Arabidopsis thaliana: one gene and its partners. The protein of the gene in region 1 purifies or fractionates together with the protein of each later gene. This does not show direct contact. Each region holds a gene or a part of one and is shown on either strand. Other genes may lie near its edges.

What was found.
Region 2: the proteins of 2-Cys Prx B (region 1) and HSP81-3 fractionate together in Arabidopsis thaliana (co-fractionation; one large-scale study listed by BioGRID). This does not show direct contact.
Region 3: the proteins of 2-Cys Prx B (region 1) and HSP90.1 fractionate together in Arabidopsis thaliana (co-fractionation; one large-scale study listed by BioGRID). This does not show direct contact.
Region 4: the proteins of 2-Cys Prx B (region 1) and EMB1241 fractionate together in Arabidopsis thaliana (co-fractionation; one large-scale study listed by BioGRID). This does not show direct contact.

The regions. Positions count from the first base shown.
Region 1 is NC_003076.8:1,917,311-1,921,953, reverse strand, and holds 2-Cys Prx B (2-cysteine peroxiredoxin B), read right to left. Parts: upstream 2,875-4,643; 5' UTR 2,575-2,874; coding exon 2,347-2,574; intron 1,947-2,346; coding exon 1,872-1,946; intron 1,755-1,871; coding exon 1,673-1,754; intron 1,584-1,672; coding exon 1,504-1,583; intron 1,330-1,503; coding exon 1,204-1,329; intron 1,085-1,203; coding exon 971-1,084; coding exon of another isoform or gene 938-970; exon of another isoform or gene 860-937; coding exon 743-859; 3' UTR 529-742; downstream 1-528. Other genes in the region: AT5G06280 (uncharacterized protein), read left to right, coding at 3,105-3,575.
Region 2 is NC_003076.8:22,679,487-22,684,769, reverse strand, and holds HSP81-3 (heat shock protein 81-3), read right to left. Parts: upstream 3,533-5,283; 5' UTR 3,361-3,532; coding exon 3,238-3,360; intron 2,935-3,237; coding exon 2,793-2,934; intron 2,694-2,792; coding exon 859-2,693; 3' UTR 518-858; downstream 1-517. Other genes in the region: AT5G56020 (Got1/Sft2-like vescicle transport protein family), read right to left, coding at 1-184; Hsp81.4 (HEAT SHOCK PROTEIN 81.4), read left to right, coding at 4,703-4,825, 5,085-5,226. UniProt on the Arabidopsis thaliana protein: Functions as a holding molecular chaperone (holdase) which stabilizes unfolding protein intermediates and rapidly releases them in an active form once stress has abated.
Region 3 is NC_003076.8:21,350,660-21,355,671, reverse strand, and holds HSP90.1 (heat shock-like protein), read right to left. Parts: upstream 3,116-5,012; coding exon 2,993-3,115; intron 2,678-2,992; coding exon 2,536-2,677; intron 2,451-2,535; coding exon 2,170-2,450; intron 2,082-2,169; coding exon 525-2,081; downstream 1-524. Other genes in the region: MEF1 (mitochondrial RNAediting factor 1), read right to left, coding at 3,531-5,012. UniProt on the Arabidopsis thaliana protein: Functions as a holding molecular chaperone (holdase) which stabilizes unfolding protein intermediates and rapidly releases them in an active form once stress has abated.
Region 4 is NC_003076.8:5,838,811-5,843,640, forward strand, and holds EMB1241 (Co-chaperone GrpE family protein), read right to left. Parts: upstream 3,049-4,830; 5' UTR 2,830-3,048; coding exon 2,578-2,829; intron 2,016-2,577; coding exon 1,500-2,015; intron 963-1,499; coding exon 750-962; 3' UTR 529-749; downstream 1-528.

The DNA of each region.
Region 1 (4,643 bases):
AGACAAAAGAAAGTATTGGGGTCGTTTTGATAAACATTATTTTGTAGGGGTGGTTTAAATGTGTGAAGTGGATAAACCATGTGGGTAACTGCTAACCGCGTATATACCAAACCCTATCACTCCCCACTTGTCTTTGTACATTTTGGTTTAATGGAAAAAAAGGATAGGGCTATTTTCAAGAAATGACAAAACGATCCTTTTCTTTTGGTTATTTTCTGATTTTATCCATAACTTCTAGTTTTTAACTTTTTTCTCGTGTCAAAGGTATCAGATTTTTATTTAACCAGAAAATTATCATGTACGATATTTTTTAATTAATCCGAGTGGAGAATATTCCGAGTAATACCACAACATAATTTTGTTGTCGGCTACAGATGGAGATTAGCTTAATGAGCACTCAAGTTTATTAAACAAATCAATCAGATAGTTATCTAATTCCAGGGAGCTGTGACCTCACATGATATTTTTCTAATTTATTTTTTGCAATGGTCAAAATACTCTGCCTCTTTGCATTATTATAAACTATTTACACAAGTGAAAGACATAAATATTGGCAAAAGAAAAGAAGGATTTCTTTATTTTTGATTCAATTTAAGGAGAATCACATAGCAGAAACAGGAGAAAGATGAGATAGATACAAAGGTTCTTTGGCTAAAAATAACAACTCTGCTCCAACTTTGAAAAGACGAATAAAACAACTCTGATTGCTAATTTTCACCAAACATGTGTTCAATCTTAGCCTCTAGATAGCTGAAAAGTATTCTTTGCTGAGCTTGGGGTCAGGTTTCATTGATTTCTCCCCTGGCTTCCATCCCGCAGGGCACACTTCATCCGGGTTTTCTTGAACATACTGTAATGCCTGCAAGACAACATCACAAGAAGCAACAAATAACGCATCTAAACCCTAAACCTCAAAAACAAATCTCTCTTTATCTATCTATCTCAATGATGTGATTTTTCTCTTTATTACCTGGAGGGTTCTCATTGTCTCATCAACACTTCGGCCAATACCGAGGTTGTTGATGGTGGAATGCTGAATGACTCCTTCCTTGTCTATGATGAAAAGCCCTCTCAGTGCAATGCCCTGTACTTATATATTAGCAAAATGCTTTGATTCAAAGTGGCTATACGTTACTTGAAAGAACACAAGTGGATTGGACTCAATGCAAGTATGATGCAACTATGTCAGAAGAAATCGTTTACCTGATCAGGGATGAGCACTCCAAACGATTTTGAAATGGATTTAGTGATATCCGAAACAAGAGGATAATTCAGATCACCGAGCCCTCCCGACTTTCTGTCTGTTTGGACCCACGCAAGATGCGAGAACTACATGAACATGGAATCAAACGTTCCATTATCCAAAAGAAAACGTTCCATTCGATTATCAGACTGCCACTTGCCAAGGTTCTGAGTACATCAAATACTTGAAACCATTTTTCAAAATGCTGAGACCAGAATGTTCTTTCTTGGTTCAGGTGGAGAAATAAAAATTTGACTTACCACACTGTCGACAGAGACCCCTAATACTTCGGTGTTTAGCTTCTCAAATTCTTCATAACGGTCACTGAAGGCAGTAATCTCTAGAATAAGCAAAGAAAAATTGGAAATTTCAGTGACTATGAGGGCGAGAGTTTCAGTTTTGAAGCTATTTCCTTAGCAGAATACTAACCAGTGGGGCAGACAAAAGTGAAGTCCAAAGGGTAGAAGAATAGAATAACATACTTTTTGCCAATGTACTCAGAGAGCTTCACCTGAAACCATGATTCATAGGTCGATTACTATCAGAACATTGCTCTACTGCATTGACCTTAGCTTATGACACTTAACTAACTAACATGTTAAATAAGGTTTGAATGGAATGAAAGTACCTTTATGAACTCTTGATCAAAAACTGCCTCAGCTTCAAAATCAGGCGCCTTATTACCGACCAGTGGTAAATCATCCTGCATTCATAAAACATATAAACACTAGTCAGTCATCGATCATCGAATTGTTTAACCACACAAAATGTTCTTTAACTGGTGTTCACTATCTATGCAGGGCTCAAAAGATTTCTGTGTATGAGCCAAATGTGAATCATATTAATTAATTTCAGATCATTTCCTCCCATCCCTAATTAAACCCGAAAGAAGGGTAACAAAAATGTCGCTCAATTCAAATCGCAGAACTCTAAAAAGTTTAAAGTTTAGTCTTTTATCCAATGATCTCAAAACCCTTAAGAGATAAGAAGCAGGAAAATAGTACGGATCCCATTATAACAAGCTAACGAATTCATACAACAATCATAGTGAATGAGAAGATGGAGCAAATACAAGAAATTTATGGCATTGCGAGTCAACTTACAGCCTGAGCCTTGACGGCGAAGTTCCGGCGTGAGGCGGAGCGGTTGGTGGTGAGGGAACCGAGACTGGAGAACCCGGAACAGAGAGAAGAGGATGATGCCGAGGAAGAGGGTATGATTCTGGGGAAAGAGACGGTAGGAGATAAAAGAGAAGACTTGGAGGGAAGAAGAACCCTAGAGGAAGAGAGTAGGGTGGTGGAAGAAGAAGAAGCTATAGACGCCATTGACATTGACTCTGTTCTCTCTCTCTATCTCTCTGTGATTGGTTACTTAAAAAAGAGGTCTTGTGGTTTGGTTTGAGGATGAGGTGGATAAACGTGAGGGCGTGAGAGAGACGAATCGGATAGAGAAACCAAATAGCTGCTCTTCTAGATTTTTCAGACAAGAAGAAAGAAGTGGAATGTTCGATGAACCGGAACGACACCGTGTTGATGATCATACTTTGATAATTAAATCAAAATCTATTTTTAGGCTGGTTGGATTTCCGAATATATTTCCATCTAATCTTCACATCAAAAATAGTAATCAATCCTTAAATTTTGTAATTTGCCTACTATCTTCCATTCCAATCATAATAATTAAGAAAATACAAATAAAGTAAACGTATCTCTTTACTAATTAATACAACACAAGATAGTGACAAATGTACATATCATAGAGATCAATAATTGGACCTCCTTCCTTACTTTAAACACTCGCAAAACCCAATCAGCCACAAACTCACAAACAAACCAAACAAAAAAAAAGAAGAAGAAAGACTATGGAGATTCCGCCGTCACAATCTCCGGCGACTCAACTCCGCCGTACAAAATCCATATCCAACATGACGACTCTAACTCCTCCAGAAGTTCCTTTCGACATAGCTTCAACGCCGCCGTCTTCGTTCGATTACGAGCTCATCTCCGTAAAACCATCCTCTTTCGTAGCTTACACTTCTCTCAGAGATATCATCTCTTCTCCGATTAACTCTTCACTCAATTTACCGTCGATCAACGGTAGCTGCTCTCCTGTTATATCCACCGCCGCCGGAGATATCTCGATTCGTAACCGTCTCGTTAAGCAAGCTGCTTTGTCTTATCTTCAACCAACGGTGCTTACTTCGTCAGATGATTCTGCTGGTTCTCAATTCTTCCGCCGCGTTTGGCTTCACTTATCCGCCGGGTTTCAGTTCTTGCGACGTGTGTTTGATTGGATTTTTCAATCGTTTCGTGTTCCTTTGATTGTCAAATAAACTTTGATTTGGTGAGAAAATTGGATTTTTCATGAATTGAATTGTATACAATAAAGTGTTACAATATTCAAAACATATCAAAGGAAAAATCTTTTTTTTTTTGTTCGTCTGTGGTCAATTTGAAGTCATGTGAAACTCCGGTTAACCGGCGGTTTAAAAACCCGGTTATTGAGATTGTGGCTTAGAGTAGTATAGCAGGCACCTTCTAACGGAGAAACATTAAAGAAGTTCTTGTTTGTTGTTGATCTTTTGACTTTGATTGGTTTTTATTCTGTAGACAAAGGAAGTGATGGATTTGGTGAGAGTGCTCTGATGCAGTAAAGCTTGAGGATGTATATGTTTGTTTTGAATACCTTATAGATGGTGAATTGTTGTTGCAATTGCTTGAAGATTTGGAGGCTCCAGTGGAAGATACATTGCAGTAGTTGAGCAATTACTAAATGTCCTCTTATCTTTAAGACAGAGATTCCTTGATCGATGTCAGATTCATGTTTTGACATGTATGGACATAGTAGCTTCTCGTAGACATAGCTAAGTCCCTGTTAGAAACCAAGAGAAGAAGATTGGTCGTTTTGTGAATCTAAGAATGAGAATGAATTCTCATTAGATTTTTATTGCATTGTACTGTAGTTAGTACCTGTGATTTCGGGTAACATAAGTAGATGAGAAGAGCGATTTTGATCTCTCCGTAGAGTGGTAACCTGCGGATAGATGAGATGAATCAGAAGGTTTCATACAATAAAGAAGCATATGATGGAGATTTGAAGTTTGACATATAAGTACTAACCATGATACAATGATGTCTCCTATCCTTTCGAAAACAGTAAGAAGAGCCACCAAGATCCTACAAATCAAATTCGGATTTTTGATAAGATGGTTATGAGAATAAGATACCCTTATCCAAAAAAGGAATCTTCTTTATTAACAATTAGTAAGCTTTACCAATATTGGCACCAGTATCTAAGTTCGTGAATCTCAAGCTTTTTCTTTTCCACGCTTTTGTAGCATCCATATGCAGGGTACGCGTAACCCACAAGCAATCTGCAAATTTTCCAGAAAATCTAAGAG
Region 2 (5,283 bases), about 21 Mb from region 1:
ATCTAACGGCGGATTCGATATCGAAGCCTAAAGTTCCGGTGTCTTCTTCAAAATCTCTCGATGCTGCGTAAGAATTCCAATCAGCTAGCAGAGACGTTCCTCCTGTTTGCAGCGGTTGCTGCTGCTGATCTCCGCTGCTACTAGTGCCGCTCATCGGAAACCATCCTTTGGCCATTTTCTCCATTTCGTTGGGAATTTTTGGAGCTGAGAAATCAAAATATAGCTGAATACCGACGATCAGTGGTTTACGTCGGAGCTAAGGAAATCGGCAGACGTCAAATCGAGCGTTGATGAAGATTCTGTCAAGGGACCGTCGTCTTAAACGGCAGTGTTATTTTGCGTTGCACTACTCATATTCTAATCGTAAAAGTTATTTAAAAAAATAATAATAACCTTTAAAACTGACCAAAAAATTGTTACACAAATTATCCTTTTTAATCAAAGTAGTAACAACATTTGTGCAGAAAATTAACGCTAAGTCAAACAGTAACAACAGTATTATGTCGAACAATAAATTATTTATTATTGTAAAGAATATGTAAGCTGTGTTGTCTGAGATGCTTAACAATATGATTTGGAGCTGCTTCATGTATTTTATTAGCCATATTAGTCATACTAATAACTTAGTTATAGGCTACATAACCAAAATAAGCTTGGATTTGCAAGATTGTGCATAAGAGAACCTTTGTCATCAAACCGAATTCAGAGAAAAAATCTTCACGAAAACAAGCGATAGAAGAAATAAACTCCAGAAAATAGTTCCAAAATATTAGTTCAAACGAAAACATAAAAAAAAAAGATAAAAAGATAACCAATGTCTCAACACCCCTAATGATTAAGTCGACTGTGTGTGATAATTTAGTCAACTTCCTCCATCTTGCTACCTTCAGCATCGGCATCATCTTCAAGTGGAGGCATGTCAGCATCGGCTTCAACAACATCATCGTCATCAATGCTCAATCCAAGCTTCAACATCCTGTGAATCCTGCTCCCGAAAGTGTTGGGCTCATCGAGGCTGAAACCAGAAGTGAGAAGAGCGGTCTCAAAGAGAAGAAGTACAAGGTCCTTCACAGACTTGTCGTTCTTGTCTGCATCAGCTCTCTTTCTCAGCTCATCCATGATGGAGTTCTCTGGGTTAATCTCCATTGTCTTCTTGCTCGACATGTAGCCACCCATGCTGCTGTCTCTCAAGGCTTGAGCTTTCATGATCCTCTCCATGTTTGCAGTCCAGCCATACTCGCCTGTTACAAGACAGCAGGGTGAGTCCACAACACGGTCAGAGACGATAACCTTCTCAACCTTGTCTCCCAAAACGTCCTTGATCACTTTGCAGAGTCCCTCAAACTTCTCCTTGAGCTCTTCTTTCTTCTTCTTCTCGTCTTCAGTCTCATCCAGTTTCAGACCTTCCTTGGTTGCAGAGACAAGCTTCTTTCCTTCGAATTCCTTGAGCTGACCAATAGCATACTCATCGATAGCGTCAACCATGTAGAGAACTTCAATACCCTTCTTCTTGAGCTTCTCAAGGAATGGAGAGTTCTCAACAGCCTTCTTGCTCTCACCAGTGATATAGAAGATATCGTTCTGACCTTCCTTCATCCTTGTCACGTAGTCCTTGAGACTGGTCAATTCATCACCGCTCTTGGTTGAGTGGTAACGGAGCAACTCAGCAATCTTGGTTCTGTTTTGGGAGTCCTCATGGATACCGAGCTTCAGGTTCTTAGAGAAAGCCTCATAGAACTTGTTGTAGTCCTCCTTGTTCTCAGCAATCTCAAAGAAGAGCTCAAGACACTTCTTCACAAGGTTCTTGCGGATGACCTTGAGGATCTTGTTCTGCTGCAATGTTTCTCTTGAGATGTTGAGAGGAAGATCTTCAGAGTCAACAATACCCTTGACAAACCCAAGGTACTCAGGAATGATGTCTTCACAGTTGTCCATGATGAAGACACGACGGACATAGAGCTTGATGTTGTTGGGCTTCTTCTTAGTGTCAAAGAGATCAAAAGGAGCTCTCTTGGGAACAAAGAGGATAGCTTTGAACTCAAGCTGTCCTTCAACTGAGAAATGCTTCACAGCCAAATGCTCTTCCCAGTCATTGCTCAAACTCTTGTAGAAAGCAGCGTACTCCTCCTTGTTGATCTCCTCTGGCTTCCTCATCCAAATCGGTTTCTGCTTGTTCACCAAATCCCACTCATGAGAAACCTCCTTAATCTTCTTCTTTTTCTTCTCCTCCTTTTCTTTCTCCTCATCAACTTCCTCAACCTTGCCTTCCTCATCCTTCTTCTCTTCCTCCTCTTCATCATCAGAGATCTCCTTCTCAATGGTCTTCTCAATCCAGAGAGAGATTGGGTAGCTGATGAACTCAGAGTGCTTCTTCACCAAATCCTTAAGCCTTCGCTCCTCAATGTACTCCATCTGGTCTTCCTTGAGGTAAAGGACCATCTTAGTTCCTCTACCAAGAGCCTCACCAGAGGTGTCTCTGGTGACGGTGAAAGATCCACCGGCCTGAGACTCCCACACGTACTGCTCATCGTCATTGTGCTTGGTAGTAACAACAACCTTGTCAGCAACCAAGTAAGCAGAGTAGAAACCAACACCAAACTGTCCAATCATGCTAACATCAGCTCCAGCAGCCAACGCCTCCATGAATTCTTTGGTTCCAGATCTTGCAATTGTTCCAAGGTTGTTCACCAGATCTGAAAAATAAAACAAAAACGTATTAGCCAACACACCAAACACATAAATAATCAACGAAAACCAATACAAATTGCTTTTGACTGAAATCAATTACGTACCAGCCTTGGTCATCCCAATACCACTATCGATAATCGTCAAGGTGTTGTTAGTCTTGTCGGGAATGATGTGAATGAAGAGCTCTGGCTGACCATCGAGCTTGCTCTTGTCTGTCAAGGACTCAAACCTAATCTTGTCCAAAGCCTGTTTTCACCAGAGTAAAATCACAATCGTAAGTAACCAACCAATACACAGAACGTATATACAAATTACATATAAGCAAACTTTGTAAATCTAACAAGAGTCTGCTTAATCGTTGGTATCAACACTAAAACTAATCAACAGATTTGAACACAAACAGCTTCGCAACTTCAATTACCAACCAAAATTCTAAAATCGGCTAGAACACTAAACCCTAATCAATCCTAAATCTACAGATCGAACAGCCAGATCAATCAAACGAGACAGACAAGTATAAAATAAGGTGTAGAGAGATAGAGATCGTACATCAGAAGAGTTACTGATGAGTTCACGAAGGAAGATCTCCTTGTTAGAGTAAAAGGTATTGATGATGAGGGAGAGCAACTGGTTGATCTCAGCTTGGAAAGCAAAGGTTTCTGCGTCCGCCATTCTCGTTGATCGGAAAAAAAATCTAAGAGCTAGGGTTTATGAATCAAATCGAGAGATAAAGAGAGCAAAATTTTCTTTAGAGAGCAGAGAAGTGTTGATTGATACGAGACTTTGGGGAAGGATGTTATTATATATAGTGGTGTGGGGACTGGGAACCTATAAGGGTTTCTAGATCCTTCCTATTTGATTTATGTTAATTTGCTTTTCAGGTCCACATAATCTGCAATATAATTAAATGGAAATTACAAAATACAAAACTATTTTTTGGTAGAAAAATACAAAACTTTATTAAATTTTTTAAAATTTTATTCCCTTTTATTTTATTTTGGAGAACAGGTGTAATTTACTACTTTTTGTAACAGGTTTTAGTTTACTTCTTTTTTTTTTTGGTTAAATTTTGTAATTTACTATTTTATTTTATTGGTTGATGATAATTTACTATTTATAAAAAACAGTCAGATTTAATTCTACTCCCTTTTTATTTTGCAGAACAGGTGTAATTTACTACTTTTTTGTAACAGGTTTTAGTTTCCTTTTTTGTTAATTTTGTAATTTACTATTTTATTTTATTGATGATAATTTACTATTTTAAAAACAAAGCAATAATTTTATTTTTTGCTTACAACTTTTTTTTTCCTGTTTACAGATTGGTATGTGTATCTTTTAATAAAGTTTCAAAAAAATCAATAATTAAATAATAATATTGAAAGTTGTAAAATAAATAAATTAAAACAATAACAAAAAGAAACACATATTCTCTAAAAAGCGTGGGGTTTGTGGGGAGAAAAAATTGATTTTTTTTTTTTAACTTCAGAATTGATTAAAACTTTTTTTTTTTTTTTAACACAACTATTTATCTTGTTGTTATAAATTAAATACATAACTAAAATTTGAAATAAAATTTTGAGATATCTTGAAACTAAGGGATTAACTTTATCGATTTCAAAAAATAACCCAAAACTAGGACCGATCTAAAAAAATCTAAACATAGATAAACTAGAATGAATGGGAACTTGTAAATTCAAATCCATAACAAAATCGAATTTTGTATATGGAGAAAAACATTGTTTTTATTGATTAGTTTAGCTAATAGAAAAATTTAACAAAAAAAAAAAAAAAAAAAGTAAGTAGCACTTGTTCCAAAAAAAAGGAAAGTAAAATATTATGACAATTTTTATATTTTACAATTTCCATTATATTATGACGTCTGTTTCCACATCCCCTATATATTACACACTTTTCCCCCTTAATCAAACCATCAATACTTCTCTGCTTCTCTTAAGAATTTGCTTTTTGATTCACATAAACCCTAATTCTTAGATTTTTTTCCCGATCAACGATAATGGCGGACGCAGAGACCTTTGCTTTCCAAGCTGAGATCAACCAGTTGCTTTCCCTCATCATCAATACCTTTTACTCCAACAAGGAGATCTTCCTCCGTGAACTCATCAGTAACTCCTCCGATGTACGATCTCTCCCTCTCTGTCTTTCTATGTTTATCTTTAAGCTTAATGTGTTTGTGTATCTCCTTCGATTGATTTGACGGATCTATGTGTAGATTTAGGTTTTATTAGGGTTTAGTGTTCTTTTCGATTTGAGATTTTCGTTTGTTAATTGATGGAACCTTTTCATGTTCAAATTTGTTAGATTACTTAGTTTTTGATTGTATATATGTTGTGTGTATTTTGTTACTTATGATTGAGCTTTTTATTCTGGTGAAACAGGCTTTGGACAAGATTAGGTTCGAGTCCTTGACGGATAAGAGCAAGCTCGATGGTCAGCCTGAGCTTTTCATTCATATCATTCCGGACAAGACTAACAACACCTTGACCATTATCGATAGTGGTATTGGGATGACCAAGGCTGGTACGTAATTGATTTCATTCAAAAGCAAGTTGTACTTGATTTCATTCAAAACCATTA
Region 3 (5,012 bases), about 19 Mb from region 1:
TTTTGTTGTTGAATCAAACATCCGATTTAAAGTTATGTTCATTCCATCTTCTCTCCCCTTTTCGAGCATGCGAGAATATGATTCCCCCTATTGAACAAATCAATCAACCTTTAAGCGATAACAAATTGGTGTTGTGAAAATTATTAACTTCTTGATCTCGTTTTGTCAGATCTAAAATTACTATAGCCAAGCTACCTTTCACGTCAAGTTGTCACTCCTATCTATTCCAGTGATCTTAGGAAGTCTATCTTTTGGAAGTCAAGTTTTACTCTAGGGAACCAAAAGATTTGTTCAGAAACAAGAAAAGTTCCTTAGCTGAATAACAAAAACTTGAATCAGTATTAGACAGACCCACCACACGATATAACAGACCTGACACAAACCCAACCCTAGAAGTAGTCACAATGTTCAAGTAACTCTAAAGATATAAAAAAAAAGACAAAGACATTTTGGAAAATCTTAAAACTCAGAACAACTCGACATATTAGAAGTTTTCAGAACCATAAGAGCAATTTCTTCATCTCTTAGTCGACTTCCTCCATCTTGCTCTCTTCAGCAGCGTCCTCCTCCAACTCAGGCATATCACCATCTTCCTCAACGTTCTCATCCTCATCAATACTCAGACCCAACTTCAACATCCTGTGAATCCTAGCAGCAAAAGTGTTCGGTTCATCAAGACTGAATCCAGACGTCAACAAAGCTGTCTCATACAGCAACATGACAAGATCTTTAACAGACTTGTCATTCTTGTCTGCTTCAGCTCTCTTCCTGAGCTCCTCCATTATACCGTTGTCGGGGTTGATCTCCATTGTTTTCTTGCTCGACATGTAACCACTCATGCTGCTATCTCTCAACGCCTGTGCCTTCATAATCCTCTCCATATTTGCAGTCCATCCATATTCACCAGTTACTAGACAGCAGGGAGAGTCCACAATCCTGTCTGAGACCACAACCTTCTCAACCTTGTCCCCGAGAATTTCCTTAATCGTCTTGCACAGATTCTCGAAGGACTTCTTCTTCTCTTCCCTCTTTTTCTTCTCTTCTTCGGTCTCATCTTCAAGTTTGAGGCCTTCTTTAGTCGCAGAAACAAGTTTCTTACCGTCATACTCCTTCAATTGTCCAACAGCGTATTCGTCAATCGCATCCACCATGTAAAGTACCTCGTATCCTCTCTTCTTCAGCCTCTCCAAGAAGGGAGAATTCTCCACCGCCTTTTTGCTTTCACCAGTGATGTAGAAAATGTCCTTTTGACCTTCCTTCATCCTTGTGACGTAATCTTTGAAGCTCGTCATTTCATCACCACTCTTTGTGGAGTGGTACCGTAGAAGATCAGCAATCTTTCCCCTGTTCTGACTGTCTTCATGGATACCCAATTTGAGATTCTTGGAGAAAGCCTCATAGAATTTGGTGTAGTCCTCTTTGTTCTCAGCAATCTCGTTGAACATCTCAATGCACTTCTTCACTAGATTCTTCCTGATCACCTTAAGGATCTTGTTCTGTTGAAGCGTCTCACGAGAGATGTTGAGTGGCAAGTCATCAGAGTCAACAACACCTTTCACAAAGCTGAGGTACTCTGGGATTAGCTCTTCACAGTTGTCCATAATGAACACCCTCCTGACATAAAGCTTGATGTTGTTCAACTTCTTCCTCGTGTCAAAGAGATCAAACGGAGCTCTCTTTGGTACAAAGAGAATGGCCTTGAATTCTAGCTGACCCTCCACTGAGAAGTGTTTCACGGCTAAGTGATCTTCCCAGTCATTGGTCAAGCTCTTGTAGAAAGCAGCATACTCTTCCTTAGTGATCTCTTCTGGCTTCCTCAACCAGATCGGTTTCTGCTTGTTGATGAGTTCCCACTCGTGAGAGACTTCCTTGATTTTCTTCTTCTTTTTACCATCTTTCTCCTTCTCCTCATCAACTTCTTCAACCTCACCTTCGTTTTCTTTCTTTGGTTCATCTTCATCCTCATCGTCACTGATCTCCTTCTCGGTGGTTTTCTCGGTCCAAAGGTAGATAGGGTAACTGATGAACTCAGAGTGCTTCTTCACCAAGTCTTTGAGTCTCCTCTCCTCCAAGTATTCAAGCTGCATGAATAAACACACTTGTAAGAACACAGAAAACACCAAAAGAAAAGAAACAATCCCCAAAACACTCAAAGCTACGATTCCTTACCTGATCGTCCTTAAGGAAGAGGGTGATCTTAGTTCCTCTACCAAGTGGTTCCCCATCCACATCCCTAGTGACAGTGAAGGAACCACCAGCTTGAGACTCCCAAACGTATTGTTCATCATCATTGTGCTTTGTAGTGACAACAACCTTCTCTGCAACAAGATAAGCAGAGTAGAAACCAACACCAAATTGTCCTATCATGCTTACATCAGCTCCAGCTTGAAGCGCCTCCATAAACTCTTTTGTTCCAGACCTCGCAATGGTTCCCAAGTTGTTCACCAAATCTGAAAAAATAATAGAGAGTCATAACCACAGCACATACACTAAAACATCTCACCAACGAGAGATTATTAGGCATTGATTCGTTACCTGCTTTGGTCATGCCAATACCACTGTCAATAATTGAGAGCGTCTTATTAGACTTGTCAGGAACCAATCTAATGAAGAGTTCAGGCTGTCCATCGAGCTTGCTCTTATCCGTTAAGCTCTCAAATCGGATCTTGTCAAGAGCCTACAAAACCATTCATATAAACAAAGATAATCAGAAGCTTTCCTCAATCCTCTAGGGTAAATCAAAGACTACATCGAAGCAAGAACCGTTCTATATATGTAACTACAACACATGAAGATCGAGCACAAGCTAAGAATTCTAAACTTAACGTGATGCACAAGCCAAATCACGATTTATTTGAATAAGCAATCACAACGCTAAACCTACGAATCCAACGCTATCAACGAATCCAGGAATTAAAGAACAAACAACATGCAAGAAAATAGGAAGCGGACGAGTCACACCGAGCAGAGAGAGATTTGAAGGGAAACTTACATCAGAAGAGTTACTGATGAGCTCACGGAGGAAGATTTCTTTGTTGCTGTAGAACGTGTTGATGATCAAGCTAAGAAGCTGGTTAATCTCAGCTTGGAAAGCAAAAGTCTCTGCATCAGCCATCTGAACATCCGCCATCGCAACGAACTTTGATTCAACGCAAACGAGAAACGAAAGAGAATGCTAAGAGAAAATTTGGAACTTCGAGAGCGTTTCGAGAGATTTGTGATTGTTTTGTTGATTTATGAAGAAGAGAGGAAAAAACAAAGTGATTTTATAGAGGAGAAATAAAGTTCTAGTCTCTTCTTTTGAAATAAAGGAAAACCAGTGATTTCTGGATTGTTCTTTGAAAACGACGCCGTATTTCGATGAAATCAACCGTTTTTAGCTTTGTGAGCAAACGAATTCCAGAAAGTTCTTTTCGTTTCGAGACTCCACTTGTTTCAATTCCGAATAGGTCTGGCAAAGAAATTTCGCCGGTTCAGTGTGAACTGAATGAAATTATGGTTAAATATAAACCAACTCTCATTTGTCTTCTTCACCAATAGTCATTACAAGAACACTTGCCATCTTCAAACCGATGAAACCGATTATTATCTCTCACAATGATCACTCGTCTCGTACATACGGACATGAACTTGATCGCGTTATGGCAATCACCGCAAACACGCAGATTCTTCATTACTCGGATCGGTCTATCAGCTGGAAACGTGATCAGTCCAAAAGCAATAGCTAATCTCTCACTATGATACCTTATGGTTTGATTCTTCTCGTCACCATCCACTTCTCTCAGAACATAGCTTGTGTCTGCAATGTAACCCGCTTTCTCCATCTCTTCCCCTAACTCAGCCAGCTTCTCATATATCTCCTTGCTTTTCTCATGACGTCTTTCTCCAGCTGCAAATGTATGAACCTTGTTCCTTTCTTCAACCCAACTTAGCCCTGTTTCCTTCTTTTCCCCTCGGTCTCGAAGCAATTTTCTAGCTTTAGCTGCGTCTTCGAATCTACCATCGGCTGCATAAGCATTGGATAACGAAATGTGCATACCGGAACTCACTGGTCCTAATTCGAAGACCTTGTCTGCTGCAAATGCTGCAAGCTCTGTGTTCTTGTGGACTGTACAACTCGTTAATAAAGCTCCCCATACAGATTCCGTGGGATCAATCGGCATATTAGTGATAACTTCAAGTGCTTCTTGTAATCTACCAGCTCGTCCTAACATATCCACCAAGGAAGCGTAATGCTTATCCGTCGGCTCAATCCTCGATTCTTTCATCTGATCAAAGTAGTATCTCCCTTCATCAACTAGACCCGCGTGACTACAAGCATTGAGCACATTCAAAAAAGTTATGAAATTTGGTTTCATTCCAGAAAGCTTCATCCTTTTGAACAATTCAATAACCTTTTGAGTATGTGAATGTTGCGCATACGCCTTGAGCATAGCGTTCCAAATCCCGAGATTCTTCACAGGCACCTCGTTAAAAACTTGATAAGCTCCTTCAGGAACACCACACTTTGAATACAACGAGACTAAAGAACTTCCCACAAAGCTAGAAGAATCAAAGCTAGACTTAATACTCAATCCATGAATCTGTCTACCTAACTCAAGTAGAGTCGAATTTGCACAAACACTAATAACACTCGAAAACGAGTAATCATTAACAGCGAGATTCTCAAACAAAGCTTCTTTAAACAACCACAAAGCTTCCTCATTTTCACCCATTTGTGCATACCCATACATCATCCCACTCCAAGTAACAACATTTCTCTGAGGCATTTCGTCGAACATCTTCCTCGCATAAACAATTTCTCCACATTTCGCATACATATCAACCAAAGAACTCCCCACAAACACATCAGCATCATACCCAGTCTTCATCGATAGACAATGAACTGATCTACCAATATCACAACGACTCAAAATCGCACACGACTTTGTAGCTGATGGAAGAACATGATCATCAGGTCTAAGGTTTCCCGCCATCATTTTTTTAAGAAACTCGAGTGACATCCATGGAAG
Region 4 (4,830 bases), 3.9 Mb from region 1:
TGATAACCAAAAACCGGAACAGAACCGCAAATCAACATTTGTACTTGTACGTTCACACAAGACATGCATTGTCCTAGGAGACTAAAGATGGACCGGCCGATTACACCTCGTATCCGATCCAAAAATTATGTGATATATTATCATCATTGAGGATAAAATTTACTATTGATTGTTTCACACTTTCACTGTATGACACTATTTATTCTATTACCCGGTTTAATGCATTATGCATGGATCCCAACGTTACTAGAAATATCCAAAAAATAACAAAAGAAAGAAGAAAAAAAAATCCAATCCAAGATACCCAACATACATGGCCCTAACATTTCTTTACACAAAATGGACAACTCCTCTTTAAGATATTTAAGTACCCAAAGAACCCTAACCAAAAGAAGAAAACTTGGACAATAATTTGGACTCGTAGGCCATAGTACTCAAATACAATTTACTGTATTGACTTTCTGTTTGTTCCAAACTTCCAATTATCAACATTTTCTCTGAATCTTCCGAATTTTCTAGCTGTGTATAGAGAGATGAAAAAAAATCAATTATGGCATTCCCTTTCGGATTGAATACTTAAGAATTCATTAAAAATGTCGATCTATATTACTTCTAGACTCTGTAGAAATGATATAACGTATCAATAACAATAACAACAATAATGGTAAAACAGACCTCTCCCTCTTTTATCTCTGTATCTCTCTCACACACACGCACACAAAACTGCTGAGTCTTGATCATCTTCAATTTCAAGATGAAGATGATTCTTCTTCTGCGCTTCCTTGTGCTGTGGCTTCTTCTCCTTCAGCTTCAAGGGGCTTTTCTGGTCCAGGTCCAGCTGATACTTTCACCATTGAAGGACGTAAAAGCCTTTCACCTAGCAAGAAACCTTTCCTGTATTCTTCTAGTACTATACCCTCTTCGTATTCCGCAGAGTCTTCTCTCATTATTGCCTCATGTAGCTTTTTTCACACAACAACGAGAAAAGCAAAAGGATAAAAAAGAGATGTCAGCTGTTAGGGACTTGAAAAGACCAACAAACAAAAGGATATCTACCAACTCATTGTCATTTAAACCCAACTTGCAAAAGTAACAACCACATCTTACATCTAAAGTCTCCAAAACTTTAGCAGATTCATGCTTAGGACTAGACGCATAAGTGGTTATGTATTTCAAGCTTTGCGATAACCAAAAGGCATCTAACTGAGATAAGTGATCCTAAACCTCAAAGATTTATTGATCATTTGCATCACAAAAGTATCATTCAGCATAATTTGTTCCATCCATCTGATGTAGCTAACTTTCAAAGTAACAACCATATCTACGTTCTGCTCAAGATTATTCCGGCAGCCCTATAGCAACGAATTATCCTAACTTCCAAAACAACTTTGATTTTAAAGATCACGTCCATAGTTAAAAATTAAAACCACCAGCAAGCTGAGCAACAAAAATACAGTTGTCGATCTCCGGAAAGAAGAAAAGATATCATAGTAACTAACCATTGGATCAAACTGCTTGCCGACTGTCTCCACATGGATAACACCAAGTGATCCCAGAATTTCTACAAACTGTTTGTATATGCTCTGATAGCTATTAGTGACTTTCTCTTCTCCCTCAGTCTCCACCTTAATTTGGGATTTAGCTCTCTCGAAATTATCCAAAACAGCCAAAAGATTCTCTACAACCTCTCCTTGAGCATTTGAAACAAGGTTTAGCCTTTCCCTCTCAGTCCTCTTCCTGAAGTTGTCGAAATCTGCACTGATTCTTATAAGCCGATCCCTCTCCACCGATAACTCATTGGATAAAGACGCTACTTTATCCGCAAGCAGAAATTTTTCATCTTCTATGGACTTTAAAGATGCTTCTATCTCAGCAATCTTCCCCTCGTTGTTGTCTGCTAAAGCTTCTTTATAGGATTTCAGCAACGCTGTGATAACAGCTGCTTCTTCTTCCTCAGCTTCACCCTCCTCAGCACTGGCATTTTCATTCTCGACATCAACAGCACCATCCGTCTCCTGCTCCATGATTTCAGAAGTGAAACAAAAAATCAGAAAAAGAGCAATCCAGTTTACATAGACGTTTCCTATCTATTCCTGATAAAAGCTGAGACAGAACACACACTAACGACACAATTTTTTAATGACCTCCTAAACAATCAGATTAACACCAAAAAAGCTTCAGAACATTCTGTGGCCCCCATACAAGAATCACGAAATCAAAATTCGATTTGGATAGTACATACACACCATGGTCTTAAACTACTAGTGAAACTCCTTCATTTTGGGAACACACCATACCACAAGAATATGAAATCTGTCATTCATCGGATTTGGTATATCCTAAGAAACATTAGCATTCACCATTTGACTCCTGAATAGACTGAATACAATCCTATTCATTGCTCTAATTCATGTGAACGTTCCTTCAGAGGGTAATATAATCAATAAAGCTTAAAAATTTAAGCAAACAACAAGCAATTCTAAATTACCATATCCCAAATTCGAAACCCTAATCACCGAACTAACAATGAAATAACCCCCAAGAAAGTTGAACAGAAGTGAGCCGAAATCGAAAAACCTGAACTTCGGGTTCGTTCGATTCCACCTCCGTCTCCGTCGTCTCAGCTTCTCCCGAAGCAAAGGGTACGAGGTTTAGTAAGCGGAGAGGATAGCCGCTAGAGACAGACCGGAGAGAAGCTCGGCGAGAGAGTGAGACGCTAACGTTTCTTCCTCCGGCGAAAGATACGCAAAAGGGCTTAAAGGGTACAGAAGGAGCATGAAGAAGAGTTGGTGTGAGATGTAAAGACGGCGTTTTGAGTAGACCGGCCATCGAAGAGTTCGGAGAAAGAGAAGGAGAGTGGCGGAGAGAGATAAGGAAGATAGAGAGAGAGAGGGCAAACGGTTCTACTCTTCCTCGTCGGATCTTTTGTTTTGTTTCGTTTTTTTAACCGTTGGATTTACTTTTCGTTTTTACTATGTTGATCGGACCGTTGTTGTTCAACAGAGATTACGTAGGGAGTTTTTCAACCGTCGGATTTAGATTTTCTTGAAACTTCTACAGTTTTGTGAATATTTTATATAATACAATAAAATCTCTGTAAATTAATACTCGAGAAGGCTGTTCGATGTTCTATGCCAATGATCTAACTGATTCCTGGTATGATGTCTCCAAACTCTTTGTAAGTTGTCTTCCACTCTTATGGTTCAACTCTTTTTCCAAGTCCACTTCATCACGAATCTCTTCATCTTCTCTAGCGATGACTACACTTTTCTTCAAGTGGGAGCAAATTTATCCAGGAACTGTTGTTCTGACATAAGAATATTTGAATGATTTGTAGTTGTATCAATTTCGCCTTGCCTTTCTTTTGGATCTGAATGTTTCAAACATTTTCGACAATAAAATATGTTTTTACCAATTTGTATCAGTTTTGTTATTGCAGATTCAAATTGTATCATGATCTCATGCATATCGTTGTTGAAAATAACATAATAAGACTTGAGATTTGGGAAATTTTTAGAAGCAATTTTGTGTTATTGACTATAACTAGTTCTACAATTTGGGCTTAGGCTTTATTTACAAAAGGGTTTCCTTAAGCCCAAAGAGATGTACTATATAGTTAAATGTTTGTTTTGGTCAAGTACTAGTACTCAATATGTTATAGATGAAAAGTAATAAGAGAATATCAGGGTTTGCCGGTTTGGGTTGACAACAAAGAGATAGGAGACCATCCATGTTTAATCTATTTTCTAAGTCCGCACACTTAGTTTTGTCAGAAGTAGTGGGTGCAACGGACCTTAATCCTAAATCAGAAGTATTAACTACAAAGTGACTAAAGTTTTAAACTAATTATTAAATATCACCCGTTGTTGAGGCTAACATATCATAAAAGATATTCTTCTTCGACCATTTTACTTTTTCATTTTCCAATTTCTCAATATATTATTTTAGTTAAAATTTTGTAAGTAGATGTTTATCAAAAATTCTCAAGTAAATATCTAGCATATGTTTGGAGGTGACAATCCATATAAGCTTTTAAAATTGAATATCAAATAGTTTAGTTCAAATGTTTAGAATTGGAAGCTAAATAAAGGAAGAATTTCAAAAGCATCTTTTCGAATACCACTTTTCAAAAATATTATATTTCTAATTGTTTATTAAAAGTACTCCTAAGAATATGAGGTTTATTCAAATATGTGTGTAACTTTATTAAAGTATACAAACTACTTTTATATGTGTGTAAAAACTTATAAATATTTTATAAATACAGTATAAAAATAACTTATAAATACCTTGTAAAACAATACCTTGTAAAACATTTTTAAATACCTTCTAAAATCTTATTAAACCATATAAAATACTTTATAAAACATTAGATCGAATCTCCAATTAGTAGTTTACACCAAAAACTTTATGAACTTTTGAGATTTAATGAAGAGTATTTTCTAAAAATAAACACCTAAAAAGTTTCCAATGGTGATTAACAAATTGAACTAGCTGAATAAAATGAGTACTGATAAGTTGAATAAAGATAAGCTGAATAATAAAAAAGAGTTGGATAAACTAGATGAGATGAATAAGTTAGAGAAAAATAAAAGGTAACCTCTATATGTTTTCAACAGCTAAACATATTTCAATATTAATTAGAAACAGCTAAACAACAGGTTGTATTTTATTATATTAATTCTAACGCATGCAACGCATGGGTCTTCCACCTGGGTATATCATATAGATTATGAGTCTGTATCAAATTGGTCATCACGTCGATTGAGAAAAATAAAAATAAAGTCTCTAATCATTTAGTTTCCTTCTTTTTATCGTCCCGTAATTCTC